Linked DNA regions of Struthio camelus. The protein of the gene in region 3 interacts with the protein of the main gene of each other region in a pairwise test. Links are inferred from orthologs where the notes say so. Each region holds a gene or a part of one and is shown on either strand. Other genes may lie near its edges.

Region 1 (7,743 bases), on a different chromosome or scaffold from region 3:
TTCAAGGGGTGGTAGTAACTTAAAAAAGCAAACAAAAAGCACAACCGTTTAACAGAGGCGAGGGAATTAGAGCACGTTCAAAGGACGCCTGTTTCCCAAGCAAATGCAATCATTTCTTTGTCTCAGGCTCATTCTGTGGACTTGATCTGGTTGCTGTTTGTGATGTTAGGATAAGGGGGACTGTATGATTATTTATTTCTGCTTCAGGAATGGATTTCAACGTAAACTTCCCAAATCTCATACGGTGATGATCTTTGTAGAAATCCCCACTTGTTTTAGAATTCTGCACAACTACAGACTGCTTGGGTTTTTTATCTTTCAAAAAACCTTAAAATTTAGAAACCCAGTGAAGCATGGAAAAACCTCAGAATTTATCGTGCAGTTGGCAATAAAAGTTGGGTGAATTCTCTCACGTTTCATTCTTGTTTCAGAAAAAGAGTATTTTATGGGGCAGGTGAATCAACCAGGTGCTTCACTTATTCTAGCAGCTTTGGCTCAGGGCATATAGCCAGAGAGTCTGTATCTGTTTAACTCTCCAGCTAAAGCAAAGTTTAATTGTTAAGAAACAGAAACAACACCTTCCTATGTCTCAAGAAGCTATTGCAGCCTGTCAATCTGTTATGCCTCTTCCAGCTCTTTGCAAGGTTACAGCCAAAAAGTAGGATCCCAAAAGTAATACAAAACCAGAATTACGTAGGAAGAACATTTTTTATGCTCCAAGAAAATTCCTCTTTTTTTGTTCAACAGACTACCCATGGATTTGGACAGGATCCCCTGCTCAGCTGTTTACCATCACTAAAAATGTTGCAGGAGCTGTTCAAAGCTGTTCATGTAGTCTGCATGTCCCTCCATGTTACTCATGCCCTGATACCACTGTCCTCTGGTCTGGTCCATACTAGAAATGTCTGTGTCTGAGACAGGAAGTGGGTGCTTTCCATTGTCAGGCTGCATCTATAATTTTCAGGAGCATTTGGTAGTTTGGCTGACCTAGGTTGGGAACTGCATGTATAAATACAAATACAAATACAAATACAAATACAAATACATATACATATACATATACATATACATATACATATGCACATGTATGCTACTGAGATCATAAGGTCATTTGGGAATGGAGATAATACCCTACTGTTTGTGGTATATAAAGAAAAATAGAGCTAGGAAGCTTTCCATTCCAGCTGCTGAGCAGTTAGGCCTTAAATATTTGGCTAGCAATACGCATTGTAGTGCCACCTTGTTGCTTTGCAGCCTACTTCAGCAAAGGAATTCTGTGGTATCAAGTCAAATTAGTGGCTGGAAAGGTCGGGTCTCCTGCTGTGGAAGGAGGTAAAACTTGGAGGAAAAGGCAATATGCATTATGTCTTTTGCTGCTTGCAGTAGTGGTGGTCTGTTTGAAACAGCAAGTTTCTCTGTGACCCTCTTGATGCTGGGACGACTTTTGCAACGTGTGCGAGATCTGTGAATCTTGGCATGAGTCAATCTGTAAGCTGCTTCATCTCCTATTGACGCTATGTGGTCAACAGCACTTCCTACTGGCATCTTCAGGAGGATTGTGTGAGATTCTCAATGGAATGTTAAAGATGTGTAAGCACTTCTGCTGCTCACACAGTTCACTAACCGTAGTTGCTTTTTTGCCGTGTTTACCAAGTCTTAGATATTCTCTCTGTATTTTCACCCCATGTGAGAAGGTCTCAACATGCCCAACCTCTACTAGCAATTCTAGTCCAAGGTCCTCAAAAGTACTAGGTCTCCAAACTAAGCCTCATGCACTAGTCTCCAGACTAAACCTCAGGCTATCTGTTTTGTGGTTTTAGGATAATTCTTTCAGTTCCAGTGCCTCCCTTTAGATCCACAGGGATTCATGGAGTTTTTGTAAGTTGCCAGCTTTTGATTCTTCAGCTACATTGAGCCGTGCTTCCTCAGGGTACTACCTCTTCAGTGAAACAAGCATGCTAAAGGTCAAATTTAACAAAGCCCCAGAGACTCCTTCTCAGGCTTTACAAACACTCCATAGAGAGCTAGTGGCAGAAGTCCAGATAAACCACATGATTCCAAAATAAACAAACCTTCTTCCCCAGAGCAGCTTCTTCCCAGTCTTCTTGCTTCCTTTGAGACTCCTTCTGATGCCCTTGGATGTAGAAGCTGTCAACACGTCGTCTTCTTCCCAGGCTCACCAGATCCTGTAGTCATAATCTGTCTGGGAACCGCATCAATTTATGATTGTGTCAGACTGAGAGAAGAGACAAATTGCTTCCCTACAACTTCCTCCTGCTGAACTACCTGCTCTCAGGGGCCCAGGTGTAATTACTCTGTCAGCATGCAAGCTGTCCACTTGTCTTCCCCTGCAGAAAAATAACCTCTTTCCATGCTTGAACTAATACCAGATAAATCTGTTTTGTAAAGTCTTCCTTTTTGTTCCTAAATCTGAGTCTGATTCATTCTCACTCAGGCTCTACTCTGTCTTATCCGAAGACTTGGTTCTGGCATGGGAGAACTTGTAACAATTCCTTTTAGGAGGAGTGTGACAACTGCAAAGTGCTATTTAGCAAGGCAGAGGAGCTGCAAATTTGGGCTGTTAAATGGGCAGGCAGTCACAGTGCACAGCAGTACAGACTGCATGTAGCCCTATTGAAGTTTAGATTTCAAAAATTAATGGTCACAACGGGCTGAGCAGAAAAGCAGAACTTTCCTTCCTAGGGCCCCAAACATGATCAGGAAGATAGGAAGCAACATGAACAAGCACTTGGAAACAAAGTTTTTGCTTTTTGATAAAGGTTGTAAGGTGGGAACCACAAAGCAGGTTGCACAGAGTGTGTAGTACTCTATCTGGTAGGAATGTCCCTGTAGGAGACAATGATGGTGCTGGTGGTCCTGTGTTGTTATTTCCCTTCAATTGGCTTGTCCTGACTTTAGGGGGAGTGTGATATAGGATCAGAGAATTTGGAATGTCGTTCCTTCTTCTCAATCTCACTCTTTCTACTTCTTTATGTCAAGAACAATTTAAAAAATACCATAAGATATAATTTAACTTTATAAACACTTAATGCTTCACTATTTATCTGATAATTATTCAAATGAGGGATTGGGTTTTGACTAGCTGTATCAGACAAAATGCTTTTAGGGTTCATTCTAGGGACTCTTTCCCAGATGCTCCAGCTGTTCTGACATTGCTGGACACCCGCAGATCTTAAATTTTATTCATGTAATAAGCTGCCACACCTTATACTTGCTTCACTGTGCTTATATTTGGTAAATAGTGTCTGAATATAGAGCTGAATTTTGGCCAGCCTGGGCAGCAAAACTTTTTCCCTTTTCTTTCGGGTGGCTTGTACTTACAACTATCCGGCAGTTCTGAAGCAGCTGGAATCACTCTCTCCTCAGGTCCAAACTTTGGTCCTCAGTAAACATTCTGGCTTGCTATCTTTTGTTCCCGTGTTGTAGGTAATGCTTGAGTAAGGAACTCAACTTTGACTAGCTCAGTACCTTAGGAAGCTGAAGCCAATTGTTTGCTCTTGGATCTTTGTTACTAAATAACTTCATTGGCTTTAAAACAAAATCCAAAGGTTTCTGCAGTCAAAAGAGCTACGTCTTGCATCCACTTTCAATTTGAGTGCCCTAGAGTAAGACTTAGATACGTTTAAAATTATGCTGTATCTTGACAGATACATCTTACTTCTATTTTGTAAAGTACTCTGTGAACAGCATTTGGAGAGGGGACTAAGCTTTGACAGATACATGACAAAATTCTTTCCATGCTACCTGTGAAGTCACATGGACCTGTGACCATCAGGCCACTCTGAACTAGCTGGCTCTGGCTACTCCCCATGCAAGGCTTTAGGACTATTTAGTCAAGAGTCGGACTAGACAGAAATACATATTCGCATGCTGGTAGCACATATATTACCCTGAGGGACTGTGCAGGCAAAGTGACTTGGGCACTTGGGAGACAGGTCTTCACACACAAGTGTGCCCCACAGCACCTGCGGTACCTCCACAGCTGCCAGGAAGAGCTGGAGTTAGCGTGTGCGTGCTGCCGGCTTGTCTTTGGGGCAGTTCCTGGAGGCACAGGGCTGCTGAACAGCAGTCAGGCAAAACCAGTCCAGCACCTCCTCAAAGCTTTGGTCCTGCTGCGCTCATGCCCTAGGCCTGACCTGCATATCCATGGTGGAAATGTCATGGTTTTCTAGATTTGACTTATTACCAGGACAGCAAGATAAGGCGTTATCTTATCCCATCGTATAAGTAGCGTTGCAACAGAAAACACAGTTTTGGCCTGCGGGGCAAAGGAAAACGCTTTCTGCAACACACAGGGTAGGCGCCCGTGGGCGCTTCCGGGCAGGACCACGGGGCAAGGGCATCCATCCTCCCGTTCATCCCTGGCGCACAGTGGGCATCACTGGGTGGGGTGCAGAGGTTAACACGCAAACAGATCCCAAATTTAAGCAACACCCTCCTCTCCTGCAGGTACTTGACAACCAAAAAGCGCCCCGCTCCCACTCCCGGCAGTAGCAAGAGGCAGCCCAGCCCAGGGCTTTAGCCCCCCTGAAGACACTCCCTTGGCAGCTGGGTCCCTCAGAGCTAGCAGGGCCTTAGGCCCCACTGGAGGAGGCAGTGACCTCAAGGTAGGAGGGCGTATGTGGGGGGGGGGGGGGTTGCTGGGCTGGGGGCAAGGCGGGGCGCCCTGAGGCAGCCACTACCTTGCCCAGGCCTAGCACGGGCGAGGCGAGGGCGGGGCCTAACATGGCCGCGGGGGCCCGTTGCTAGGGCCGCGCCGCTGCGCCTAGCAACAGCGTCGTGGGAGCTGCGCTTGTGCAGTGAGGCTCCGTGCGCCGCGGGGCAGCTTGGGAAGGCTCGAAGTCGGCGGCGGCGGCGGCGGCGGCGCGCTCCCGCCGCCGCTATGAACGAGGCGGTGGTGCGGCGGACGCAGGAGTCGCTGGGCCAAGTGATCCGCAAGCCGCCCCTTACGGAGCGGCTGCTGAGCAAGCCGCCCTTCCGCTACCTGCACGACGTGATCACCGAGGTGGGCCCGGAGCCTGGCCGCCGGCCCGGCTCCGCTCCGCTGGTTGCTAGGCAACAGGGCCGGCCGGCCGGCCTGGCCCGCTTCCTTGACGGGGGCGGAGGGGCCTGCGGGGGGCAGCGGGGCCGCTGTGCGCGCCGTGGGGCGGGAGAGCCCCTGGCCTTTGGAGGAGGTGAGGCCTGAGGAGGCCGGAGCTCTGCCCGCAAGCCCCCGGGGGCGCACGGGGCTGGGTGGCCCCAGGGGGTGGCGGCTGCGGAAGCTCAGCTCGCGGTGGGGAAGACGTAAACCGGCTTCTTAGCGTGGCTTTCGGGGGGTTAAGACCAGGCAAGGGGTCTGACTTCTTCCTCCGGTCCAGTGTGGAGCTGGTCTTTTGTGAAATCTGCTGTTGGAAGGTTGTAAATGCTAATGAAGTGTGCGTTGAAGCAGCTTGATTTTCCACCTCCCGCTTAGAATGAATCTTAATTTTTGTACTTACTGAGCTTCTGCTTTTGTATGTAGTTGCATGTAAAGAAATCAATAAGGGAATAACCGAGAGCTGCGTTGAAATCCTGTACCCTGGTGCTAAGTTAACATTGCCATTTGAAAAGCATGTGTCTCAGCCTTCAAGGTTCCCAAACATCAAGGTTAAGTATGGGTTTAAGTGGGAAGGGACAGTAAGGAAGGAGTAAGTTTCACTGAAACATGTTCGAGAGCATATTCAGCGATACAGCACACCTCTGAACCTGCTCTAGAACTAATTCTAAATGACGTATCCTCTCTGAAAGTAAGACTGATACGTTTGCTCTTGTCAGGAAGTTCACAGAGACCGTTCCTGTCCATAAATGTTTTCTTAAAAAAAAAAAAATCAAGAAGTTTTCTTAACCTGTTACTTTTCCTCTGTTTTGAAGGTAATCAGAGTAACAGGTTTTATGAAAGGACTTTACACGGATTTTGAATTGAAATCAGATAACGTTAAGGTGGGTATTAAACTTCCTTATTTATTGGGTTTTAATATTAAGATTCTTTCAAACCTGCCACAAGGTATTTTTCATCATTTCTGTGTTCAATTTCAAGTGATTGTCTTTAATTTAACATTGTGAAGAAATAGTAGGAGGTATTGCATATTGGTTATCTTATGTAGTGCCTAAGGAGAATACCTACAGATTCCATTCATGGAATGTCTGTGTAAAAGAACTGTTTCTATACAGATCTTGAAACAGTGAGATCTAATCTATGACGAGATCTAGATTTTCAAAGTATTATTGTATTACAGATAATAATAATCATGTAATAAGATTGCGTTGAGGTAAATAGCCACTGATAATAAAATCACAGATGCTAAAAATCCATGCACAGCTCTTCTAAGAGACTGGTGGTCTCTCTACAGAATGTGTGTTTTCAGATTTATTACTTAAAATATATATATATTTATATACATGCACATATATATATGCATACACAATAAATATTCTTGCTTAATATTGCAGGACTTTCTGAAGTGCTCATGTGGTGTATACAATCTATAATAATTTTATTGCTATCTACCAATACCTAATTAATGAAAGAGGAGGTTAATGTTATTAATGAAAAATATTTTTGTTCCTTACAAGAGTGATTCTTGTCTGTGTTTGCTCTTCCTCTGCTGTCTGCCTCTCTGCTCCGCCAGGGATGCTGACTTCTCCAACTACAGGCTTGATTCAAAGCTAGATTGTCATTTGAGTTTCTAATTCATGGCAAATAATGTAGTTCCTAGTTAGAAAGCTATGTCCACTGCAAATTGTTTAGTGTAGCAACTACAAATACAAGGTCTATGAGCCTGGCTTATCTGGTATAGAGATCTGTATACAACCAGTGGCGTAGATGGTTTGTGCAATTCGTGCAGATAATTACTAGTCTGATGTGTACATTTATTTCTGTGGATGTTCATACTGTTATTTGAATTGCTAACATCTAAATTAGTTATACCAGAGACTTATACATGTGTATGTATTTGGTACTTTCCCTGCTGAAGCTTGTTAGTAGTTCTGTGATGAAGAGCAGCAAAGTACTCTTGTTTGGAGAGCCCTGTGCATTTTTTTGTTTTGTGAACTGAAAAAAACAGATTTCCTAGCAACTCTAAAGTAGATCTTTGCTTCTGTATTTGCATTCTGTCACATCTGTGAAGTTGCATGAACCTCTTGAGCACTTCTCTGAGAATTTCTTCCGCGGTCCATGCTATCATAGTTTTCATGAGTTCAGGTAGAGGAGATCAAAATGCTGCAATGCTGGGAAAACAGCTATAGTTTGTGTTCCCCTTTTCGAAACACAGGTCAGGGGGAAGACTCTGTGCTCACAAGATGCTTTGTTAGCATAATCTCTGTTGGAGTTTTAGAAAATCAGGAGAGTGATCTTTTTATGGCAGGAAAAGGGGGAGGAATCTTTTTGTGGAGACCAGAGCTACCTGCAGAGAGTTAGAGACAACAGCGGAGAGTTAGAGTCCATGTTGTGAATAGCTGTATATATTTCCATGCAAAGGTGATCTGCTTTAGGTAACACCAAGGGATGGTACTCATCTGGTGTGAGGATCTCGGCGATGGGTACATAGACTTGGAATGGGCAGGATGCTCTCAGAAAAAGGAGAGGTCTGTACCCAGTCCTGATGCTGTAGTCCAGAGTTCTTGCCGTGGGAGGAGAAAATTGGCAGTTGTTCTTTGGAAGCTGGTTGTGTGGTGCAGTTGCAGATCACTAGAAGCATAGTCTGC
Region 2 (7,232 bases), on a different chromosome or scaffold from region 3:
TTTGCGTCCGCAGCCCGCCCGGAGCGCGCGCCTGGCCCGCCGATGGCGAGCAACAACACCGCGAGCATCGCCCAAGCCCGCAAGCTGGTGGAGCAGCTGAAGATGGAGGCCAACATCGACAGAATAAAGGTAAGGCGGGATGGCCAGCGGCGCCGCGGCCGGCGATGGGGAAAAAAGATAGAAAAAGAGACTGTGCTCGGGCGCGCGGGCGCGTAGCCGCTCTGCCGCGCGCGCAGGGGGAAGGACGATCCCGCCTGTGCCTGACGCCCCGCTCCTTCTTCCAGGTGTCCAAAGCCGCGGCAGACTTGATGGCGTACTGCGAAGCCCACGCCAAGGAGGACCCTCTCCTGACCCCCGTCCCGGCCTCCGAAAACCCCTTTAGAGAGAAGAAGTTCTTCTGCGTGATCCTGTAACCCCGCGAGGAGCCTGACCGGCGCTCAGGCCACCCTGAACACTGATGTAGAGTTTTTAGGAACGGGGACGACCTGGTAGTCCACAGAATTTAAACAAAACCAAACAAAAAAAAAATCAGTAAAAAACGCGGCCTGGAAGCTACGGAGATGTGCATGTTTAAAGAGCCTGGCCGCCTTTGGGGGAATAAGGTGATCTACCTTGCGAGGCAAAAGATCTGAAGTCTGTAGAGTTGCCTAGAAAGAAAAACAAAAATATGTAAAGAATAAATCTGTGTCACTTTTCTGCTCACAAAACTTGTTTGATTGTTCCATGTCCAAAGCACTAGAGTCGTGCTGAGCAAAGTAAATTGCTAAGGATGTGTATAACCTTACTGGAATGATGTTGTCGGGTTTTTTCCAAATACGATTTTTTTTCTTTTTATTTAACTTGTCGGATATATAGCAACAGGCTAGATTTACTATGAATGTTCCTTAACGTTTGGTCTTGTGCTTTTTAATTTTTGGCGTGAGGGTAGCGCAGAGATCGGCTGGAGCGGCTGCCGCGCGGGAGCCAACGGAGCCGTGCGGCCGCCGTCCAGCCCCGGCGGCGGCTCGGCGCCCGGTTCGAGCGAACCCCACTTTCTGACGTCCTGTACGTGGTAGCTTCGACTCTGCAAGTAAAAGTGAACCGTTGTGTCGTGGTGGGTGCTTCGTACTTCTGTGACGACGTTTAGTGCATGGGAGTGAGCTGCGTGCAGCCGCTCCGCCTTTTCTGCTCTGTTGTTTTGAGGCCGCGCGCTGGTGGGAGAAGCTGTAGAGAGGGTAAACCGAGGCGATCCCGAAAGCCGATGCCTTCGCCGGGCCTGAAACACGTGCTGCGCGAGGGGAGGGTGAGCTCTGGGGGCCGGCAGCCCGCGCCCCGGCGCCTGGAGGTAGCTCGAAACCCGAGCAAGTCGAGTCGACCGCTTCTTGGTGGGCTTTCTCCGACACCTCCGTGCCTCTCCTCTGCTGCCGTCCGCTTCTCCTGGCCACGGCGTCACCCCGCCGCCGGCGTCGGGGCCGGGAGCCCTCCGGCTCCGCTTCCCCCGCCGACGCCGGGGAGCCGCTCGCTCGGTGCGGGGTGGCGGCGCCGCGTCCCTCCCCGGCCTTTCGGTGGGACGCGGGCCACCACCTCCGGCCGGGCAGCTCCGAGGTGGCTCTGCTGCGCCGGCTGCAGGCTTCCCGGGAGGCGACGGGCAGCAGGTCGTTCCCGGCCTCGGTTTCCTCGGCCGCCGGCCAAGGCGCGCTGGCTCGGGGCGGCCGCGGAGCTCAGCCCCGCGTCGGGCCGCGCCGACCTCTCTCGCTTGGTGGTGACGGAGCTCTCGTTTTTCCTCCTCGTGGAAACTCCCGGGGCGCTTGGAGACCCTTTACTCCAGGGTTGGCCGAAACCCTGTTAAACTCTCGTCCTCCATCAGGTATCAGCTTAAAAAATAATAGGCGCGTTGACGAGGGCAACGGTCTCCGGGTACCTCTCGGTGGCTCTTTCTAGCCCGTGACGAGCGCGTTTTGGGTTTTCTACCTTTTCATACTCTTTTTCTAGTCTTCTGGAGAGAAGCCCCCACCTTGTTCTTAACCCTTTGGGCGCCTGGGAAGGTTTATAGGAGGGGAGCAGGCTAGACGGGCCGAGCCGGCCCCGGCCCGCCTGGCCGTCCTTCTCCCGCGGCTCGGCGAGCCGGGCGGCCGGGTCGGCGACGCAGGCGCAAACGTGCCGTGAGCGGTTTGCCTTTGCCTTTTTCACGCCGATTTGCTGCAACGGCCGGCGAAGCGCCGCCGGCCTAACGCAGGGCCGGGGAGCCCCCGCGCCGCTCTCAAGCGCGGTCATGAAGTGCTTTGTAATGATTTATTTTATTTTATTTTATTTTTTAAACGACTTGCGTGTTTTACAACTTGAATTCTTACGAAAAGAAAAATAAAAACAGGGAAAAAAAAGCTGCATGAGAAGCATAGAGGGGGATATGTGAATTAGCCTAAACTGCTCATTGAAGGTGTTTTACGTTTCTGGTCGGGGTTTTTATTTCCGTGCTGTTGTTTACATAGGTGCGCTGCCAGAGATTTCGCCCCGGGATTTATATTAGCGCAGATATGCCTTGGTTAGCGAAGTAGAGCGAGCGCCTGCCCACACCGCGTCCCCCCTGGACAAGCGTGAATCACCTCCCCGAAGTGATGCTGTATTTTCAGCGTGGTCTCAAATGCCGTTAATCTCTACCCCCGGGCTTTTAAAGAAAAAGAGTACTGGAGTACTGAAATGGGACTTTTTCCTCTTTGTTTTTGTTTTTTTTCCCTGCAAACGTAATTCATGGCAGGGGGGAGTGTGCCGCCCTGCGGTACCCGCGGTGGGAGGTTTCGGGCAGAGGGGCCGCGCGAATGTCCATGTTGGCGTGTGTGTGGGTGGGTGGGTGGGGGGATGGACTTAAAAAACCGAAATAAAACAAAAAAAAAACCCCAGCGCGGGGCAAGTCGGAGTCGTGATGTAGCGCGCGTTCCCCCATCCCACGTGGTCAATGTAACTCGTTGGAAATAATAAAATTTTGGATTCGTTTCAGCCCGGCCTGTCTCTCGTCCTTTGGAAAGGGCGCCGCGGGAAGCGGGGCGCAGCCGGGACGGCTGGTGCCCGTGCAAGACCTCGCTGCTCGTCCGCGGCGCCCCGCTCAGCAGAAGACCCTGCGGGGTGCAGAACAAGGTGTAAGGATGGGATTTTGGCTACCAAACCTTCCACCTTCGAGCCAGGCGTTGGCTGTGGGCGGGTGAGCGAGGGCCAGAAACCGGCACCGCTCAGCTGCTTTCCGCCTCCCTCCCTGTCGATTCCCCGGGGCTCGAGCGGAGGTTTTATCCTCCACTCCCCTGGCTTCGGTTCCCGAGCTGGCGCGGAGGAGGCGCGAGCCAAACCCCGGCAAAAGCGCCCTGGTTTCGGCCGGGTGCGATGCCGGCGGGGCGGCGCGGGGCCGGTTGCCGGCCCCGGGGGGATTTGCCAGCGAGGTGGGAGCAGGGATGGGGCGGGTGACGGTCCTCGCGGGCTGTCTGCAAGGCGAACGAGAAGGAGGGAAGCCTTCCTCCCTGAATCAGGGATGAGGAAGGTCTGCAAAGCCCAAGCCCCACGCTAAGGGTTGGGAAGGGCTCTGTCCTGAGGGGCGGCAGAGGAAGGAGAGGAGGAGGAAGGACCGGGAGCCCTGTGCCGCTCCTGGCAGCGGGGCCGGAGAGGTGGGAGAGTGCCACGAAACGGCACGGCTGGGGAGGACGAGCCGTGCCGCGCCGGGCGGGCTCCTCGGCTCCGACACCCCAGGCCTGGTGAGGATGGAGAGAAGGGCTGGAGGGCTTCGGGCCAACATGGGGCTCCACCAGGTGCTGGCCGGCAGCTGGCGCGCGGCGGGGGGCCACGCGCGTTCGTCGCCCCCGACCCTAACCTCCTAGCCCGGAGGTTTGGCCACCTAAACATCTACCGCAGAAACTTGTCCCCGCCGTAAACCGCAGGTATCGCAAAAACCAGAGCGACCCTACGACGACTACAACGTATATTGGGGCAATAACCCCCTGACGGAAGACGGCAGCCACTTGCACCCCAAAAAAGTGGTAACCGGGGGAAAAACCCCACCCTGGGAAATGCCCTCCGGCCTGGTGTGTGGGGCAGCCCCAGTCCCCCCCCAGTATGTCCCACTTCCCCCCAGTGCTCCCCACGACGGCCCACTGCGGCCTACACGCCCGCCATTTCCCCACCCGCCCGCTGGCTCAAGCCCCGCCCGCTGGCTCAAGCCCCGCCCCTGGCTCAAGCCCCGCCCCCGCCTGTCCCCATCCGGCCGGCCGGCGCTGTCAATAAAGCTGCACGGATACCCCTCGTTCCCGGCAACCCCCTTCCACGCTCTGATTGGCGGCGGCGCCTGCCGCTCGGCGAGCGAGGGCCAATGGGAGGACAGAACGCGAAGGAAGGGGCGGCACCTTCCTGTGCGCTTCGGCCTGAGGGGGCGGAAGAGCGGCTGGGCCCGGGCCTGAGCGGAGGCGCCGTTGCTGCCGGCTTCGGTGCCGGCGCCATGTTCCGCCGCAAGCTGTCGGCTCTCGACTACCACAACCCGGCCGGCTTCAACTGCAGGGGTGAGGGCCTGGGCGGGCTTCACCGGGCCTTTGCGCGGCCCCGCTAGCAACCGTTTCCCTCCCGCACTAGGCCCCCGGGCCCAGAGGTGTTTTTGTTTCCCCGCTCTTGTTGCCTCGACGTTTCGCCCCTTGGAGTGGGGCTGCTGCGCGGCGGGGCTGCTCCCGGGGGCCGGAAAAGAAGGGAAAAAAAACAGGGTGAAAGCGGCTGCGAACTGGTGAGGTGCGGTGCGGGCCTTGCAGCCTGTGTGAGGCAGCTCCCCGAGGTCGGAGTTCAGCCGCAGCTCGCTTTGGTCACGGCGGACAGTGCTTCTCGTTCAAGGAAAATTCACTTTCTCTTGGGAAATTCAGGGCCACCGGGTGTTGTAGCGGTCGCCCGTGGGTAGCTTGGTTCTAGCAGGTTTTTCACTATCGTGTAGAAACGGAGCAAAAGCAAAGGTAGAATCCCGTAGCCTGGGGCAAAGCTGAGGTAAGCTCCTGGCAGTCCTTGGCCTGCCCTCGTTACGTCTTGCCTTTACGTAACGCAGGAAGCAGGTGTCACCGGTCCTGCAGGACGCACCCTTAGTTGCTCTATGAACCTGCCTGGTCCCAGGAATGTGGTTTGTTCTGTGCACTAACAGTAGCGTGGTAACCTTGTTAGCTCTTAATACGTTGATGTGTGTTAATACTTTGATTTTTTTTTTTCTTGCAACCTTAATTTTCTGTTGTTGTTCAAAAGAGCAGTATGAAATATGTATTTAGCCAGTGTGATCAATTGTATGCTTTAAGCAATCTTTTTCCTAGACTGCCTTTTAATGATTCAGGTAGACTGGCTTCTCCTTCAAGAGGTTGTCTACTGCCATCATCTTTTCTTGTGTATCTAAACTTCTTTGTAATTAGCTTCTTAAAAAAAAAAAGCTTAATTCTGCTAATCTTTAAGTGTCTTAGTGAAAGCTTTTCTTCGCACATGTTGTGACTCTGTGTCTGTTTCTTAAAGTGCATTCAACAGAAATAGGGCACTTATGTCTCTCAGAAGACGCTGCTGAGGAATAGGAATAACGTTCTTCTTCCTGATGGAAGCATGGTATTGTTAACCCAGGCTGAGTTGCAGGAGAAACTGCCTCAGGATATTAAAACTCACCCAATGCCGAAGTGTTACCACTTATTTTGAGGGGGCAGTAGTACTCTAGGGCTGTGATTTCCTGTGTCTAGAAATAAATTCTGTCACTGAAGAGCAGGTGCAAAATAATTACTTTGTCCTGTACTAACATTATTGTTTGGACCACGGTCTTTGTATTGTGGAATTCTGACTCCAAATGGTAAAATGTTGAGTCAACAACAATGAAAAAATACCTTTGCAGAGTCACGGGATGTGTGTGTATTGTTCTTTAGAAAAGACTGGGTGTTATTGCAACATGTGATATGTTTGTCTAGGCAACAGGGTTAGTAACTGAATTTCTCCATATCATTGTTTTACTTTTCTTTCTTTACCTAACAACAATCTGTTGGTTGATATCTTTTAGTTTAGTTGGTCAACCATAGACAATTAGGTGACTTGAAAATAAAAAAACACTCATAGTGCTGAGTTTTGGTCAGAGGTTATCCTGAAATACAGTTTCAGTGGTAGATGCATCTTTCATTGTGGTAAAACACTGAATGAGATGCATCAGAATTCAAGGGCTGGGTTTTGCCCTTGAAATATTTGTTGATTCTTGTGTGTTTTGTTTCTCTCTATAGATGAAACAGAATTCAGAAACTTTATTGTCTGGCTTGAAGACCAGAAAATCAGGCACTACAAGATTGAAGACCGAGGGAACCTAAGGAACATACATAGTGATGATTGGCCCAAATCTTTTGAAAAGGTATTTTGTTGTTTCAGGCACAAATTTAAGCTGTGAAGCTGTCTTGTGTAAATAATGATAAATAGCTTCTGTAGTTGTAGAATGTGAATTACTGTGAATATTTGTCCTTTCCCTGAACTTTTACACTTCCCGTAACGTAAATGTATAATTGAAGCCGAACTATAGCAGATATTAAGATGGTAGAACTTCTTGTACATAATTTTCATTCAACATGGTTTTGCAGTAGCTGGTTTCTTAGTCTGTTTCTTACCTGAATTGATTCTGCTTTTGATAGAGGAAGAGAATTGACTACAAATAACAGCTTTTTCTGCATTAGTGTTTTTGTGTACCAAAAGTAAAATGGATCAGGCTAATGCAGTCTTAGACTTTGCAAGCATATAAAAGAAAGAACAGCAGCTGCCCAGAAAAGCTGCAGTAGATTTCAGATGGATGATTTTTCCACTGCTTGCACGAAGCCTGGCACAAATCCATAGTTATGTGAGTGATCTCCTGTGTGCTCATGAGCATTTTGAGTCACCATGGAGCTGTTCTAGCTTTCCCTCTAGGTTCCCACGTCCTCTTTTTAAAAAAACAGCCTTGCAAGGAGGTGAAAATGCTGCTCCGTAATGCTAGTTGCATGTAAATTGTCTTTATTTCACTGGAACTTTTTGCCTGGTTTGCTGTCCAGAAGGATTGGATTTGGCACCTTTGCAGGAGGGAGCCTAAAGAAAAGATCCAAAGTTGATGTCAGGGTAATGTTAGGAGTTTTAAATACATGTGATATCAGAACTACTGGCTGCTGATGCTGTTGTGGTATCAGCAGTACGAGTGTTGTAGTACTGCAGCTCCGTGTCATCTTTCTTGACCTGGCCGGACTGTTCTTCTCACCTTGTCTTCCTCC
Region 3 (6,931 bases):
CTTCGAGTCTGATATTCTACAAGAGGTAACAAAATCAGTTTTGCCGGAGTTGTTATCAGGAGTATTATGTCCAAAACTAGAAGAGGCTGCAGATTACCTACCACTCAATTGGAAAGGATGTTTGCTCAAGGAAACCAAATGCTAAAACGAAAAAATCATAACTCCTGATGAGTACTCAGGAGGTGTCACACACTCCAGCAAATCTCATTTGAAAGGTCAGGTGGTTCAGTAGCTGTAGGAGGCCCAAGTTATAGCGAGCAGAAAAAAACTAACCGAGTGTGCCTAATTTGTGAACAAAGCTAGAATTAACCTTTAGGGTTTTTCGCTTTTGTAAGTACCAAACATTGTTGGTCGTGCTTTCTGTCTTTCTGTTCTTTACAATTAACTTAAACTGGTGCTAATAAATCCTCTTTTCTTATATGACCCTACTACAATTCCACAAGTAGTAGCTTAGGCCCAAACTTTTGACTTGATTTTACTGAAGAGAACAAAGGCTGATTTATCTAAATTTAAAGAGGGAGGAAGTCAGTGGCAATATAATACTTGCATATTTTTATAGCACCACTTTTTAAAGGTTTGTGCTGCAGCACTGTAAATCATTAGCCGAGTAAAATGAGAATACATTATTTTCACTGCCCAAAGAACTATACAGAAAACTGATAAATCTACAGTGTAAGTTCTGGAAAGCAAGAAAAAACACAGAGTTGGACTCGGCCTTAATCTCAAACATACAAAACACCATTTACAATCATTTGGCCTTCTGTTTACATTCCCTTACCCCACCATCGCAATATTTTGCGTAACCACAAACCTCTAAACTCAGCTTTTCTCTTTTAAGCCATATATTTATTTTAAACATCCCTTCTTTTCCATTTTGTAAGTGTCAAAAAGCGTTATTGATAGGAAAAAATCTACTGTGACTCCAACCAGAAAGCCACTATCAGTGCCTTTCTAGAAAAAAACATAACAGCTTGAACTTCAGCAATGAGATGGAGGAATACTGATATACTATAATTAAAGGCATTTAGTATTTAAACAACAAGAAAAGTTTATTGAAGTAGAACTTCTCCAGTTTGCATTAATTACTGTAAGGCCAATTGCAAATTAGCAAGTATTTGGGCAAATATAAAAGGACAAAAACCGAGACAGTGCATCGCAGCGTACTTTGTTCATTTCTTTGAAAGCTGTAATTTACTTTTAGTTACCGGTAGAACTAGCTGGTTATATGTTCTGCAGGACATTTTGTAAAAGCCTTTATTATAAAAGCACTTCACTGCGGAGCTCTTAAATCACTGCACAGAAGCGCAGTAAAAAGTTATTCAACGACTCGTACACAGACATTAGTGTGGATTACCAAAACATGAATGAGCTGTTTTCTATTGAAACGTTGGCAAGGACAGCAAGAAGAGACTGCATAAAGTTTCGCTAGATTAATGGAAGTTAAGGAGAGAACCGTACCTCCAAAGAAGCAAAAAGGTAGCTGATACATGTGGTTACCGATTATGCCCTGCTCCGTGAAGTCTCCTGACGGAGGTGACATACTTTTTCCAAAATTTCCCCACTGCTGCAGCATTTCACCAGCCCCAGTGTCAGCAAGGCAGAAAGCCCCAGCTCAGGCACCTGGCTCCACAGCGGCTGCTGCTCTGAGTAACGAATGATAAGGGTCGTTCCTCTACACTGGAGGTCACAGTCTCTTCCCGCTCAGGTACTAATAAAAGAATATGTACATATATTTGTCTTCTCTGTTAAGACGGTACTTTCTTTTTTCTTCCTTTAAAGCACATTTAGACATATTATTCTGATAAACTAGTGACTTATAAGAGTACAGTTACTTCGCCCTTTGCAGTCGGTTTAAAATATATACATATATATATATATATATACACACACACACACACACACATCTCTGTACCTACATAACTGCTTCCACACAGATGAAGGTAGGGTACTGAGTAAAGAACAAAACCAGTAAGAACTAACCACAAGGACACAATTTCCTAGATTACGTTTACTGCGCTAACCCTCTTTGTGAACTAAATGCTAACATCACCGGGCCCTCAGAGGAAAAAAAAACAAGAAAGAAAGAAAAGAAAGAAAGAAAACTGATACATCTACAGTGTAAGTTCTGGAAAGCAAGAACCTTTCAAACTGTGATGTAAGAGACCCATATTTTGTCCAGCAGCCCTGAGTTTTTCCGCACTCAGCTTTCTGTACGTACTTTAACAGGATTCCCAGCTCCTGGTGCCAGTTCTCCCGGCCCACAATAGCGTGGGTCGGTACCTGACCGAAGACCCCGTCGGGGGCCGGGGCGGCGGTGGTGGCCGCCCCCGCCGCGGGTACCCGACCTCAGCGCGGAGCGGCCGCGCGCGGCTGCCGCCGTCCCGCCCCCCCCCCGCCGTGGTGCACCGTTAACGGCCCGCCGCTGACCGTTAACGCTCTGCCCCCGCCCAGCCGCCGCGCGGGGCCCTGGCGCTCGCGGGCTTCAAGAGCAGGGTCTCCCCGCCACCCCCCGCCGGCGCGTCGCTGTTTCCGGGCTGGGCTCTCCCTCCTCGCAGCGCGGCCGCCGCCTAACGGGTCCCTCGGCAGGCCCGCCCGGCCGCCCGCCCGCCGCCGGTCACGGAGGGCGAGGCAGCCACAGCCGAAGAGGCTGGGAAGACCCGCGCCCCCGCCGGGCGCGGCAGGGCGGGTGTGCAAAGGGGAAGGAGGAGAACGGGCGCTGCCCAGAAACTGAACAGCGGCTGGGGAGCGGGGAGCCGGCGGCACGGGGCTCTGGCAGGAAGGCGGGCGAGGCGCCCCGCTCCCGCCCCTCCTCACGGCCGAGGCGCACGCCGCTCCCCGGGGCGCCGCTGCTACCTGCCGCGGGCAGGCACACGCCCGCCCCACCACCCTGCCCGGGCCGCCCCGCAGGCCGCCGAGCGGGCTTTCCTCTCACCTGGGCTCGTCACCTCCCTCCCGCCGCCGCTGCGGCGCCGCCTGTCGGTGCCGCCAGCCCGGGGCAGCGGCTGGGGCCGCCACATGCCGGCAGCCCAGGCCGCGGAGGGGCGGCGCGGCTCCGCCAGCCCGGCGGGCAGGCGCCTAGCGGGGCGGAAAGTCGCGGCGGGCCGAGGCGGCCGCGGCCACTCCCCCGGCGGGGAGACACGGCCGGCAGCCCGCCCCACCGCCGGCGGCAGCCCTCGGCGGCCCCCGCCGCCCCTCCTCCGGCCCGGCCGCCTCGGGGGCTGGGCCGCAGCGGAGGGAGAGGGCGGCGGGCAGGCCTCGGGGGGAGCGGGCGCGGGCTGCCGCCTGTGGGAAGAGGACAAGGCCCTTCTCCAGCTGGTTTGGAGGCTGTGCCCTGCGGGTTGTAACAGGGCCGAGGCGGCGGGCACGGCGCGTGAGCGGATGAGCTCTGGGAGGAAAGGTGCTATAACGGCTTTTCTCTGCATATACCTACGTACAGAGCGGTAGGGAGACCTAGAAGGCAAGGATCCTTCCCAAATCAGGGCAGGTGCCTGCCCACGTAGTGGTCCAAGGTTATCCTGCCTCGATTCCTCTTGGCCTGCAAAATGTTGTCGTAAATTAGGGGAGAACATGGGGAGAGTATAGGCCAACTCCTCATCTGCATCAGCCTGAAGAAAGGGACCGGAGCACAGAAGGATCTGCTCCTGCTATGTGGAAGGAGGCACGCGGCCTCCTCCCTGCCTTTCCTGGAGGACTGCCAACCCTTGCACTGCCCCATCTTTAGGGGTATAGCTACATAAGGTAATTTAAGCACCCAAAGCACTATTAGGAAATGGTTTCTTTTCAAATGTAGCCATACTGTACATTGCTTTGGTCTTACAGTCGCCATGTGACTTTTCAGGAACCCTACCCTGGACCTGCATTCTGTGCCAGATGCTTACTGAGTACAGCAATGTATGCAGATAATTGCACGATAAGATATTCATTGGCTTTCTGTAACTTAGGCTTGGAAATGCTCTCTACACCATATCTGCTTTCATTACCTTCATAAGGTAATGATCTTTTTTGACATCAGACGTAGAGTTATTTCATTTTGTTACAAGTTGCTGTGATATGTATGTAAAACAAATCATTGCAACCAGTTTGGGTTGAGTTTCAGAATCCAACGAGTCTCAGCTGCTAACGTTGTGGGTTTGAATGTCAAAAATGTGAAGTTAATTCAGTTGCATTCTGGTACATGTTTCCTACAGGTGTGACCAGTCTCAGGAATTTGATGATAGATCAAATTCGCCACGGGGGAAGAGAGTCCTTTTTATACTAAAATCACCGTAACTTTCCTGACGCTGTCTTGCTCGGCTTTCATATCATTGCAAGAACGTAGATTTTTGCTAAAACTCCCTCCCTTGTTTTTTGTGGTAGGTAGTTTTCAGTCCTCCATCATCTACTATCTGTCTTTACCTGCCTAATTAACATATGCATCAACTTTCACTGTGACTAGTACTTCTATACTGATATAGTCGGTTTTATTTCTTTTGATACCCTTAATTATTTAACTATGAGCTTTATATAAGTTTTTGATTGTCCACTGGCTCCAGTTATGTATAAACTTTGCTGAAGTATTATATTCTTCAGTCATGTATCGTCATATCCACAGTATTAGCCATGTACACGGAATGAGCATTTTTCGGGACCGTAATCAAATACATTCAATACTCTCTACCTTTTCAGTAGGTTTGTTATGCCTTCCATCCTAGTCTTTCAAGAGTATTTTTTGACTTCTCAGATACAGCAATTGTTATTATGAATTTAGAATACCATTCTGATTACTGTTAAGTTTTCATTCATTCAGAAAAGTTATTACAAAAAAAAAAAAAAAAGAAGCATATGGTGTGCACCTTCACCTGAAGACTGACAGCTTACTTATATTCTTGGGTTTCAGTTCATTTGTTAAGAAACACAGGACGTGCTAAGTGAGTTTTGACCTCATATTCTAATCTATGCCCTTCCTGACTTTTGAGAGAAGATAGTGAGCAGCTGTGCCTCACATGCCAAAAATAGCTAATACATGATTCAGGAAGGAATTCCTCCTCCTCCTTTCTTCAGACTTGCTGCAATGAATCTGATCATGATGATGTCCGCTTACATCAGTACTAGCTCCCATCACTCGGAGATAAACTTGTTAAAAAGGAACAGCTGTACTGGTTCAGACAAAGGGCCCATCTAGCACTCTCTTGCCTCTAGCAGTGATCCCATGCAGTTGCCTAGAGAGAAGTAGGAACAAAGCAAGCGTATACATACAATACTTCCCTTTTATACCCCCCCAGCCTCTGACCGATGTCAAATCAGGGGATTTCCTGAGCTCAGTTTAGTTTGTCTGATCAGCAACTTGCAATGAATCTCACCCTTTCCCAAATGCTTGTCCCTTTCAACCCACTTCAGCTTTTGGCAAACACAGCATCCTTTGGTGAGGAGTTCCCCAGGTCTACACCGACTGCATGAGGAACCAGCTCCTTTTGTTTGTTTTGAGCCTGACTTAGTTTTCTCTGTTAGCTGCCAGGTTTTTATGCTGAAAGAAATGGGGATCGTTACCCATCCTTCCAAGCCTCTTGTGATTTTTGTATCTGTGGTTATCACATCATGTGATCCCACTTCCAAACTGCACGATGCTAACCTACTCAGATATGCCTTTTACAGAACGCGCTCAATACTGTTGTTCATCTCTGTTGCTCGTCTCCAAACCTTTTCTGTTTTGACTTTTTGGGGATGAGAGTGCAGGTCACCCCAAGCAAGGGTGCAGATTAGCCATGGATTTTTACAGAGGCACCATCTTCATGTTTCCTGTTGTATTCTCTGTTCCTTTTTCAGTACTCCTTAACATTTGATTTTTTTTTTCTGACTGCTGCCATGCACTTAGCTGATATTTTCATGGAATTGATCCTAGTTTCATTCTTGGTGATGGTGGTCATCTCAGAGCTCTTCACCTTATTGAGAAGCTAGGACTGTACTTCCTAGTATGTACCAGTTCAGTTTTTACACAGCGAATTTCATCTGTCGTTTGATTGTCCACTCATTCAGCCTCATAAGTTCCTTCTGCAATTCTTTGCAGTCAGCCCTTGTTCTTACTACCTTAAATAAGTATCATCAGCAAACTTTCGCTTCACTGCTCACCACCATTCCCGTGTTGTTTTTATATGTTGAACAACAGAGGCTCTGGGGAAGCCAGTCAGACCAAAGCTGCCAAAAGGTAACATCAGACTTATCAAACTGAAGCTAATATTCCATAAGCTAACATTCAGAAGTAACATGGAATGATCTGTACTTGGAAAGAACCCCTGTTAATGCGAAGAAAGTTCTTTGCAGCTGCAAAGAACAGCTGTGAATCTGTCCAGTTAAATCTCTAAAGGTTAAAGGTTACCCTAGACTTCACCACTTCTGCTTCAAGTGACTTTACCTTGCGTTGCATGTACTAATATCAATGTGTTTAATTAAACCAGAAAGTACTAAAGGACTTTAAGCATACCTAGAGAAAAAGTACAGGAAACAGATAGACTTCTGAAGCAAATGCTAGTAGGTGAAAGTAGTCTTCTGGTTTTTAATACTGTGTTTGAACTGAGCCCTCCACAGAAAGTCTGATACAGGTGACTGTGTGTGGTGTCTTGAGCTTACAAAGGCATCTACCCGCCAACATTTAGCCCTTCTGCACTTCTAGAAGGTAGTCAGGTTTTTAAAGTGGGATGGGAGGGGCACAGGAACTTAAGCCAAAGAGCATACCCAGCAGCGGATGCTGAATGGTTATCTTCTATCCTACATTAGACAGGAGGGAGCTGGAGCGTTTTGCTGTTCCTTAATTTCAAGGTTTCATTGCACTGGCATAAACTGGCACAGCCGCCCAAAGAAATTGTCCTGCCTGTCCCCCTGCTACTACTTCTCCATTTGTTCTTTCCTGTCCTCCCCCATGCTACTGACCGCTTTTGTGCTGCTAGCAGGAGTGTTT

What was found. The genes of interacting proteins can lie anywhere in the genome.
Region 1: the proteins of DISC1 (region 3) and TRAF3IP1 interact in binary tests that used the Homo sapiens proteins (3 or more experiments, as listed by UniProt). The link is inferred for Struthio camelus from reciprocal best matches to the Homo sapiens genes DISC1 and TRAF3IP1.
Region 2: the proteins of DISC1 (region 3) and RTRAF interact in a two-hybrid assay, tested with the Homo sapiens proteins (2 studies listed by BioGRID and IntAct). The link is inferred for Struthio camelus from reciprocal best matches to the Homo sapiens genes DISC1 and RTRAF.

Annotation. Positions count from the first base shown.
Region 1 is NC_090947.1:2,128,272-2,136,014, forward strand, and holds the start of TRAF3IP1 (TRAF3-interacting protein 1), read left to right. Parts: upstream 1-4,736; 5' UTR 4,737-4,903; coding exon 4,904-5,026; exon of another isoform or gene 5,027-5,195; intron 5,196-5,910; coding exon 5,911-5,979; intron 5,980-7,743.
Region 2 is NC_090946.1:80,587,622-80,594,853, reverse strand, and holds the start of RTRAF (RNA transcription, translation and transport factor protein), read left to right. Parts: upstream 1-4,225; 5' UTR 4,226-4,327; coding exon 4,328-4,514; intron 4,515-6,227; coding exon 6,228-6,352; intron 6,353-7,232. UniProt on the Homo sapiens protein: RNA-binding protein involved in modulation of mRNA transcription by Polymerase II. Component of the tRNA-splicing ligase complex and is required for tRNA ligation.
Region 3 is NC_090944.1:90,988,772-90,995,702, forward strand, and holds the start of DISC1 (disrupted in schizophrenia 1 protein), read right to left. Parts: upstream 3,020-6,931; 5' UTR 3,018-3,019; coding exon of another isoform or gene 2,933-3,017; intron 2,239-2,932; exon of another isoform or gene 2,219-2,238; intron 1,709-2,218; 5' UTR 1,574-1,708; coding exon 1,459-1,573; intron 1-1,458. UniProt on the Homo sapiens protein: Involved in the regulation of multiple aspects of embryonic and adult neurogenesis. Required for neural progenitor proliferation in the ventrical/subventrical zone during embryonic brain development and in the adult dentate gyrus of the hippocampus.